Linked DNA regions of Saccharomyces cerevisiae S288C. The gene in region 1 interacts genetically with each later gene. Each region holds a gene or a part of one and is shown in the gene's direction. Other genes may lie near its edges.

Region 1 (3,300 bases):
GTGATTGCGCGTATGATGAAAGCTTTTTCTCAAACATATTCAAAACGATGGGCAGAGCTTCGACCAAGTGAATTTGGACTTCTTCGGCCAATGCAGGGAGAAACTTTCTCAGGTCCTGGTGAACATAATCCTGTAGTTCACCAGCGGCCTCTACACCAGTAGGCCCACCACCAACCACGACAATGGACAGTAGTCTTCTTCTTTCGGGATCACCCTTTGGCAATAAGTTAGCCTTCTCTAGATTGGCGGCAAAAGTTCTTCTTATTTCCAAAGAGTTGGGAATTTCCTTCAGGAAATGACCGTAATCAGTGACCCCAGGAATACCAAATGTGTTAGGTTCCGCACCTACAGCACTGATTAAATAATCGTACTTAATTTCAGCAGGTTCTGCTTGATGCAGCCCTAGATGGTTTTCAGGTTGGTATAGCTGGCTAACGGCAGATAATGATTTTATGGTAACGGTATTCCTGTCGGGATTGATAGAGGTGGCTTCTGCCTCATAGTAGGTAACGTTCCCCTTTTTCTTGAGAGCAAAATTAACGATGGGCTCAATAATTGACTTTTCGTCTACTGTCCCAACTGGTGCAGAAGGTAACAAAGGCGTAAATAAGAAATAGCTTCTAGGAGAGATGATGGAAACGTTGTACTTCTTGGTGTCAATGTGCTTTAAAAACGAAATAGCTCCCCACCCCGAACCCAGTATCAGCACGTTTGGTTTGTCGCTGTGCTGAGGGTCAATGACTTTCATGGTCTTAAAAGATGTAGGACCTGCTCCGGAGTTTTCCACCCCTGTGGATCTGGTGGAAGCGAATCTGACTAGCGTATTCGTCGAGGTGAGCAACCTCTTGTTACTATACAAATTCTTCGATAGCATAGTGGTTTTTAGTTTCTTCTCTTGGGTAAACGTGTAATTCGATGATGTGATGAAACTGACACCCTACCTGAAACTCCTCAATTGGTAGTTAAAACTCCTTCCCCACTATGCCCTATACATCTTATATATACCCTGTCGACGTTGCAAATACCGGCAATAACCAAGAGCGCTAAGGGGGAGCACTCTTATTGTGGTTACCCGGACGTTCAATGCCTTCATATGATTGGTCCGAATGAATAGGTCATGAGAAAATGCATATTTTTGAGGCATTTCAGCAATGATCGGCAATCTGCACATATTCGTATTGTTTCCCTGAGTAAGTTATTTGCGGAAAGAGACATTCTATTGCTTTGGAGTATTTTGTGGTCTTCGACAATAAAGCGAAGGAATAATAGGTTCGTTGCTAGCGACAAGCAACACATAGTTGTAGTGATGCTATAGCAAAGAAAGGTCACAGATTCATTATTGACCTTTTAAATGGTGCCCAGTGGCAATTGCCGTTTTAGCATTCTTTAAATGCGTAGTATATGAGTTTTAAAGTGCTTTGTTGTTCACGTGCTTTTCACGTGTATGATTACTTAACCGGGTAGCGCCGGTCTTTAATATGCTTTCCAGATTAGGAAAGAACATAAATAAAAACACAAAATAAGAAAGTGTCAATCATCCGCATTGAAAGAAAGAAAAGATTTTTTTATCCCTCAATTGTACATGAAAACAGAGACCTTTCAAAACGTATTTTAACATTCTTTTACTCTTTTCTTGCACCTGCAGCCTTAGGTCAGTAAGAAAAAAAGTAGGTAGCAATGAGCCCAAGTCCATCAGTGTCGCCAAGAAGGACGCTCAATAACAAATCATCTTACATCAATAACAGCGGTGGGCTGGTCCTGCCTCCTACGCAGTTTAATTTGAATCAGCAGCCAGTCCTGAGCTTCCAACAAAAAGCGACTTTCGATTCCAACCAGCAGTTTTTCTATTATCCAGAGTCACCCACAAAAAACCTGAGACCAAGGTTTAACAGTATTTCGCAGGTTAATAAAGGAGTTAATGAAGACCATTATACCGGGGGCGGTAGCAGTAATAATAACAGGCCATCTAGATATACAAATACCATGGGCGCTGCAAACACCAATGTAAATTCCCATCCGCATCATCAGTCGGTGTCGCATTTAAATTCTAAATCTCTTAAATTCAATCAAACGAAGGAAGTGAGCAGCATAAATGAAATTATTTTTCCTTCCAGAACGTGTACAAAGAAACGGTATTTTACCAAGCCAATTGATTTGTATGGTACAAGAAGTAGCACTAGTGTGGCACCTAAGTTGACGAATTCTCCCACGAAATCAAAAACAAATTTCAACATCAAGAAGTGCATCTTACCTAGGTCCGTCGTTACCACATATAAATTACCATCTCCAGTGCACGAAACGATAGACGATATATCCAAAAAAATCATAATCCTGCTAATTTCGTTGAAGTTTGAGAAAAACTATCACTTCTTGCAACCTATTCAATTGTCCACAAATAGTAAGACACGGATCTCAAAATCACTAGACGAATTATGCGGAGTGCAGCTGACATCAACGTTACGGCAACAAAAGCAGCTGCAAGGTAACAGCAAGCCCGTAAAGAATCTCCCTAATTCCAATGCGAAGCAGAGAGCCGGGGCCAGTGTTTCCACAAATGCCAACGAAAGCTTTGAATTGAGTTTTGATGGAAAGGCAATGGATAGATCTGATATATTTCGAATGGTAGATTCTTTTAGCATCGCCATTTCAGATGAAGATGAGGAAGATGAGGAGGAGGATAGCTTTCAGCAGAGAAGTGCGAACAACAGAATCCTCCCTGCGGAGATACTAAGTAATGAACCTTTGAAATGATACGGATTCTCTGTATTCTGTCTATAGTATTTATATACCAATACATTTTTCCGCACTTTGAAGTTTTGCATTTTACTTAATGTAGTTTATTATTAGTTGCCAAAACGAAACATTTAACATGTGAATTAAAAATACAAAAAAAAGCCTATTAACGATCTAAATTTATGACAAAAGACATATAATTATTTTAATGATGCCTTTGTCACAACCGAACACAATATCTTTGAAAAGTGATCCAGCAATCGAATTCAGAATTCGTTGTGCCATTTTTGCCTTACGTTTGCGCCATTGTAATTTCTCTGTGCCGTCTTCTCTTCACTTTATTTCAATATTATCATGCAGTAAACAAGTTGCAGAATAATAAATAATATACGTACCAAATATGTGAACAACTCAGATACTATTCATTTGATATGTTAAAAGTCCTGCATTCCTCTCCCGACATTATATATAAAATGCTCAGCCACCCCTTCGTTGCACAGAAAAAAAGGATGACCTATAATACCAATATTCAATCACAATAGTTATACCAAACTAACACATGGTTGA
Region 2 (3,225 bases), on another chromosome or scaffold:
AATCTAATACCAGAAATGCGGGTGGGCAGCAGGGATTCCATAATCTTACTCAGGATGTCGTCATTGTGGATACACGTGAGTTTAATGCCTCATTACCAGGCTTACTCTACCGATATGGCATAAGGGTTATTCCTTGTATGTTGACAGTCGGCGATTATGTGATAACTCCTGATATTTGTCTCGAAAGAAAATCGATTTCTGACTTAATTGGGTCATTACAGAATAACAGATTAGCCAACCAATGTAAAAAAATGTTAAAATACTATGCATATCCGACACTATTGATTGAGTTTGATGAAGGACAGTCGTTTTCTTTAGAACCTTTTAGTGAACGTAGAAATTATAAGAATAAAGACATATCAACTGTTCATCCTATATCAAGCAAGTTATCCCAGGATGAAATTCAGCTAAAACTAGCCAAATTAGTATTGCGGTTTCCCACTTTAAAGATTATATGGTCTTCCTCACCCCTGCAAACTGTAAATATAATCCTAGAGTTGAAATTAGGACGTGAGCAACCTGACCCTAGTAATGCAGTTATATTGGGAACGAATAAAGTTAGATCGGATTTTAATAGCACTGCAAAGGGCCTGAAGGATGGTGATAACGAGTCTAAATTCAAGAGACTGTTGAATGTTCCTGGAGTGTCAAAAATTGATTATTTCAATCTCCGCAAAAAGATCAAGAGCTTCAATAAGCTTCAAAAGCTTTCATGGAATGAGATTAATGAACTTATTAATGACGAAGATTTGACGGATAGAATATACTACTTCTTGAGAACAGAAAAAGAAGAACAAGAACAAGAGTCAACAGATGAAAATCTTGAATCTCCTGGTAAGACCACTGATGATAACGCTTTACATGATCATCATAATGATGTTCCTGAAGCACCTGTGTAAAATATTGTTTAATTTAACGAACCCTGTTAAAACATCAGTATAAAATGCGATTAACTATAGTGAAAATAACAATATTCATTTGGTGACTTCGACCGTATATGTTATAAGTTAGACATGCTCTTTGAATCTTTTACTTTGATATTTTATTCCGCATATATATTCTTTTTTTCGCGTTCATAGTTTATTCACTCAAATTTTTCATATCATCCGCAATTCATCTTCCACTTTTTAGCAGTAAAAATGACCAAATGAAGTTCATTTATTTTTGATTTTTTAACCGTATTTGGTGGAATCTGAGCGTGGCATTAGTGAATCATTTTAAGCCAAATTACCCGTGAGTTTTTCTTAGAAGCGCACAATCATATTCATTATTAATAAATGCTTCAAATTCATCCTCTTGAATAAGGTCCAGAAATAATTTTGTCTCTTTTCCATTACCTATGTGGGTAAAAATTTTCTTTTGCGACTAAGATTCAAGAGACCAAGTTTCTTTTCCACAACGATATATAATAAACCAAATGGTACAAAGTAGGAAACAACAAATAAGGAAAGCTTTTTCTTAAGTAGATTTGTATATTTATCCAAGAATGAACGATGTGTCTCGTAAACAGTAATTCCTTTTAAATTTTATATTTCTTCTATTTTCTGAACTTTTTTACTTAAGAAAAAATTTGGAAATCATTACCTGTAGGATGGCTTAGCTCTGATAATCAACCTACCAAAGTAGTTTGCAGTTATGTGCACTTTTCCCTTCATGTTAACATTATTCGGGCCGGTCTATTGTTAAATAATTAAGGGTCCATTTTAGGCACGGCGGATTCACAGAAAACCACGCAGTGCTCAACGTCATATACCACAAAATCCGTTTTCGTATTAAAAGTGAATGTGTCAGTAAAAGGCATTCTTTTTAGCGTTCATTATTTCCTTTAATATGATGTACCAATCTGTCCACTGCCTATGTAAACTTAAAAGGGAGGCATTTATGACTTGAGATTTGGTTAAATTACCAATATCTCAAGGGTAACAATATTTGCTATACTGGTCATCTAGAATAAAAATACTGCGTTGTAGTGCTGAGTGATAGAACTTTTAAATCATATTATGTTATATAACAAAGAGCAGGGAACAAGCGGCGCTAGTAGCTCTGGTCGTAGAACGAAATTCCACTTCGATCGTTTTGTACAAATGGTTCTGTTCATTGCCGCTAATCCCAATTATTGCTGTTCAGTAGCCAGTATCCCGAAATCTGGTGTCACGCCAGATTTAAAAAGAGCAGATATTCTTGAACAGAAGATCAAAAGCTTAAATAGTGCGCTGAGTCCAAAATTGAAGGAAGAAAGTCGTCTTGGTGGGCCTTTGCATAACCCCTCTATTCTACCAGCCCCATCTTTTTCATCACTACCAATATCATCCAATGGAAAGAAATCTTTAGCAGGATATAGACCTAAAAGTAGGAAGAAACAAACTATACTCCCCAACGGTCAACCAAAAGAGTGCGCCACTTGTGGTGACACCTGGACTTCTCAGTGGAGAAGTGGACCTAATGGAAATGTTGAGCTATGTAGTCGATGTGGCATAGCATATAGGAAAAAAATGGAGAAAAAAATACGATCGCAACAATCCTCCGATGATGGTACTAAAAATTTTATATTTAAAAATAAATAGTTAAGTAGTTTGTAAAGATGGTATATTCAGCGGATTCTTCCTCTATTTTTATGTTTTTTGAGATATTTCGAGCTTTCTATTTTTTTAAAATGCCTGAATTTCCATCTTCAAAAAAAACATAAAAAAGGTACTTTACCACCAAATAAATGATAACCACAATTTACTTTACTTATCCTCCACTATCAAGTATCTTCCTACCAGGAAAAATGAATTTCAAATGATTCGAAATTTACGGAGGCTCAATATAGAGATAGTGTGACGATGTTCATAAGGGCTTTACCGCTTAGCACGTATCTACAGTTTTCACTCAATAATATATTCTCTAGGAATGATTGCCAATAGATTGATATCCAAGAGAAGGTTCAATTAAGGAATTTCATTTCGTTCTAATCTTTTGTTGAAAATAAAAATTTTTACTTATATGTTAAAGCTTAAGATTCCACATAAGGTCGAAGACAATCGTCACTAATGTGTGGTTCTGCCTGCTCATCTCTAAAATATATTACTTTTTGTACAGACATCTAAATTGAGCTGGTGCTTATGCTATTCTTATGATTTATTTTCAAGTGGTTTATTGAACTTTATTCCATATCCAATGATCTGAATATTTCTACTTATGTATAATAATTGTATATTATAAAAGAATAACTATTTTAAAGCG
Region 3 (3,761 bases), on another chromosome or scaffold:
TAGTTGGATGTGGTTGTAGATCTCACCATTAACGCCAAGCATATATTCGCCATCAGCTGAAGTGATTGGCTGGGCACCGGAGTCTAAACCAACAATAGCCAACCTCTCGTGAACGAAAATGGTGGAATTCATAACGGCATTTCCTGACCAATCTGGGCCACGGTGTCTGATTTTTTTAGATAGTTGTAGAGCTTTTGGTTTGAAGTTGTGAATATCTTCATGCTTGAAGGCTGCAAAGATACCACACATATTGTATTGTAGTGAGTATTTGTGTTTTGGTGAGCTTAACTGGGAAGCAAAAAAAATAGTATAAAAGTTAAATTAGAATAAATGAAACTAAGCAAGTGGCAAATCTTTGAAATATGCGATTCAAAGTCATAATTTTTTCAAGAAGAGAGGCTGGATGAGGCTTTACTGATTTTCTGGAGAAATCTTGCCATGAGTCAATGCTAAGAAAATTTGCAAAAACCCGCGCCGTGCGGCACCCATATGTGAATAAAGCTTTACTAGTAGATAGAAAATGTAGACCATTCCTGCAGGGTCCATACTACGGACGTATGGCTTTGTGAATCGTTTCACAAAGCCAAAAGAATGAACCCAATACGCAAGGTCCAGTTATGCAGAGAGCAGCAGGATAGCGGCTGTTGCACGCAACGAGACTGTTCTCTCATGTTTTCCACGATTTGATATATCCCCCTCTTAGTAAATACAGAGCCGTTCGAACGGTTTCTTTAGTAAAATCCAGGCTCCACCTTGATGGGAGGCATGATGAGTTCCAATTAGGAATGAGCAGGAGCTCACTTTAATCTTGTTATCGCAATGTGGAGTTAGCCTTAAGAACGTGTCCAAACCTCTTATGTATTGTTTTGTTCGTAATTTGATCGCTTTGTACGTGCAAATCGCTCTCTGCCCACAGCAGGAAGGACCACATAAGTGAATAAGTAAGTGGTGGTTCTATGATTTATCGGGATCTTATATTTGCATTCTAAAAAGTAAATGGTCTCTAGCGGGATCGAACCGCTGATCCCCGCGTTATTAGCACGGTGCCTTAACCAACTGGGCCAAGAGACCTATTTTTTTCGGAAGTCACTGATTAATAGTTTGATAATACAGGTGTAAAGAGTAGTATTTTCATGTGTCGCATTGTGTATGACAACATATGTGCGTTCGAAATAGATATAAGGCTTCTAATTTTCAAAGAAGGCGGTATCGTTAAGTATATGCATATGTTACGGTTTCACCTTGAGGATTAGAACTCTAAAAAAGGAAATAAGAGTGCTACAAAAAATGACGATTACTTCTTTTTTCGTTCTATGATATCGCCGCTCATTGTTCTATTACATCACCAATCCTTGAAATTTCAGCTTCATTGAATTGATGATGCTTTTAATAGAAACCATTTATGTCATATTTTGAGAGCCATACATGATAATATTCTGGTAATATAATCATAAGTTATTGGTTGTAGTTGGCGTAATATTCCAGGATTACGAATATGTATTTTATTTTACGCCCGCCATGTTGTATTTTTTTATCATAAAATTTTACACCATGACAAATCTAATACCACTGATGCAGTGTACTGTTTATACTTAAGAAATAGGTAAATTTTGAGATAATTGTTGGGGTTCCACAATACTGTCTGTCATCTTCTGTTATTCTGAGTATTTTTTTTCCTTTTAGCAGTTTCTTGTTCGTACCTTGGCCACTGAAAATTCTGGCTGAGACAATTATCAGGAACACTTCTAGTCCTCAAAAGTTCCTTCTCATTTTCTTCTTTATGAAAATATTTTTTCAATCATTGTATGTATGTATTTCTTTTTCCGTTAAAACGCTAAACCAGGGAAAAAAACGACGGCGGGAAACTGAAAAATTTCACAGATGAGGTAAGAAAATTGGCGAAAACAGCTTATAGAGCTTGACACAGAACTTTAACAATTTTAGAGGCAAGAAATAACGCTTGCCTTGGTATAATCAAATATCTCGAATATGTCAACACCCACAGCAGCAGATCGCGCGAAGGCACTTGAAAGAAAGAACGAAGGAAATGTTTTTGTGAAGGAAAAACATTTTTTAAAGGCCATTGAAAAATATACAGAGGCGATCGATTTAGATTCTACACAGTCTATCTATTTTTCGAACAGAGCATTTGCTCACTTTAAGGTAGATAACTTTCAAAGCGCTTTAAATGACTGTGATGAAGCCATTAAACTGGATCCCAAAAATATCAAAGCTTATCATAGACGTGCATTATCCTGCATGGCTCTGCTAGAATTTAAAAAGGCTAGGAAAGATTTGAATGTGCTTCTAAAGGCGAAGCCCAATGATCCGGCTGCTACTAAGGCGTTACTTACATGTGATAGGTTCATTAGAGAAGAAAGATTTAGGAAAGCTATCGGAGGCGCAGAAAATGAAGCCAAGATCAGTTTGTGTCAGACTTTGAACTTGAGTTCATTTGATGCTAATGCAGATTTAGCCAATTATGAAGGTCCAAAGTTAGAATTTGAACAGCTGTATGACGATAAGAATGCCTTTAAAGGTGCAAAGATCAAGAACATGTCTCAAGAGTTTATTTCCAAAATGGTTAACGATCTTTTCCTAAAGGGAAAATATTTACCAAAAAAGTACGTTGCAGCTATTATCTCTCATGCTGATACCTTATTTCGTCAAGAGCCATCTATGGTAGAACTAGAAAATAACTCTACTCCTGATGTTAAGATATCAGTATGTGGTGATACGCATGGCCAATTTTATGATGTTTTGAATTTATTTCGCAAGTTTGGTAAAGTAGGTCCTAAGCACACTTATCTATTCAATGGTGATTTTGTCGACCGTGGTTCTTGGTCGTGTGAAGTTGCACTATTATTCTACTGTTTGAAAATATTACATCCAAATAATTTCTTTTTGAACAGAGGTAATCATGAGAGTGATAATATGAACAAAATCTATGGGTTTGAAGATGAGTGTAAATACAAATATTCACAAAGGATATTTAACATGTTTGCACAAAGTTTTGAGAGCCTTCCATTGGCTACCTTAATTAATAATGATTACCTTGTAATGCATGGTGGTTTACCAAGTGATCCTTCAGCAACTTTGTCTGATTTCAAGAATATTGATAGATTTGCCCAACCACCTAGAGATGGCGCCTTTATGGAACTTCTATGGGCGGACCCACAAGAAGCCAACGGGATGGGTCCTTCTCAGCGTGGTTTAGGACATGCTTTTGGACCCGACATTACAGATAGATTTCTAAGAAACAACAAATTGCGCAAGATTTTTAGATCTCACGAGTTAAGAATGGGTGGTGTGCAATTCGAGCAGAAGGGTAAATTAATGACAGTTTTCAGTGCTCCAAACTATTGTGATAGCCAAGGTAATCTTGGGGGTGTTATTCATGTTGTACCAGGCCATGGTATTTTACAGGCTGGCAGGAATGACGACCAAAATCTAATAATTGAGACATTCGAAGCTGTTGAGCACCCAGATATAAAACCAATGGCCTATTCTAATGGTGGTTTTGGTTTATAGTCATGCCTTTTCTATTTTGCTAGATTATTATCAAAAGCAGAAAGTCTGGGAATAAAAGAAACTAATATGAGCTAACGAAGTGGAGGAAGTAACTTTTTTTTTTTTTTTATAAATTTATACATCTTTCACAAAAAATTTCATAATGTTTATTGTCATGTATCATATCATAATACCTCTTAGAAAAATAAGAAATATCTTCGTTGTTGAACAACATTATTCCCTTCAGCCAG

Evidence for each region.
Region 2: mutations in YML119W (region 1) and ECM23 together harm fitness more than expected from each alone (negative genetic interaction), as found in Saccharomyces cerevisiae (one large-scale study listed by BioGRID).
Region 3: mutations in YML119W (region 1) and PPT1 together harm fitness more than expected from each alone (negative genetic interaction), as found in Saccharomyces cerevisiae (one large-scale study listed by BioGRID).

What each region holds. Positions count from the first base shown.
Region 1 is NC_001145.3:28,934-32,233, forward strand, and holds YML119W (uncharacterized protein), read left to right. Parts: upstream 1-1,677; coding exon 1,678-2,751; downstream 2,752-3,300. Other genes in the region: NADH-ubiquinone reductase (H(+)-translocating) NDI1, read right to left, coding at 1-874.
Region 2 is NC_001148.4:509,101-512,325, forward strand, and holds ECM23 (Ecm23p), read left to right. Parts: upstream 1-2,000; coding exon 2,001-2,564; downstream 2,565-3,225. Other genes in the region: ssDNA endodeoxyribonuclease RAD1, read left to right, coding at 1-899; SUMO protease ULP1, read right to left, coding at 3,213-3,225. UniProt on the Saccharomyces cerevisiae protein: Involved in morphogenesis. May be involved in cell wall organization and biogenesis.
Region 3 is NC_001139.9:736,432-740,192, reverse strand, and holds PPT1 (protein serine/threonine phosphatase), read left to right. Parts: upstream 1-1,989; coding exon 1,990-3,531; downstream 3,532-3,761. Other genes in the region: ASN2 (asparagine synthase (glutamine-hydrolyzing) 2), read right to left, coding at 1-249. UniProt on the Saccharomyces cerevisiae protein: Protein phosphatase that specifically binds to and dephosphorylates the molecular chaperone Hsp90 (HSC82 and HSP82). Dephosphorylation positively regulates the Hsp90 chaperone machinery.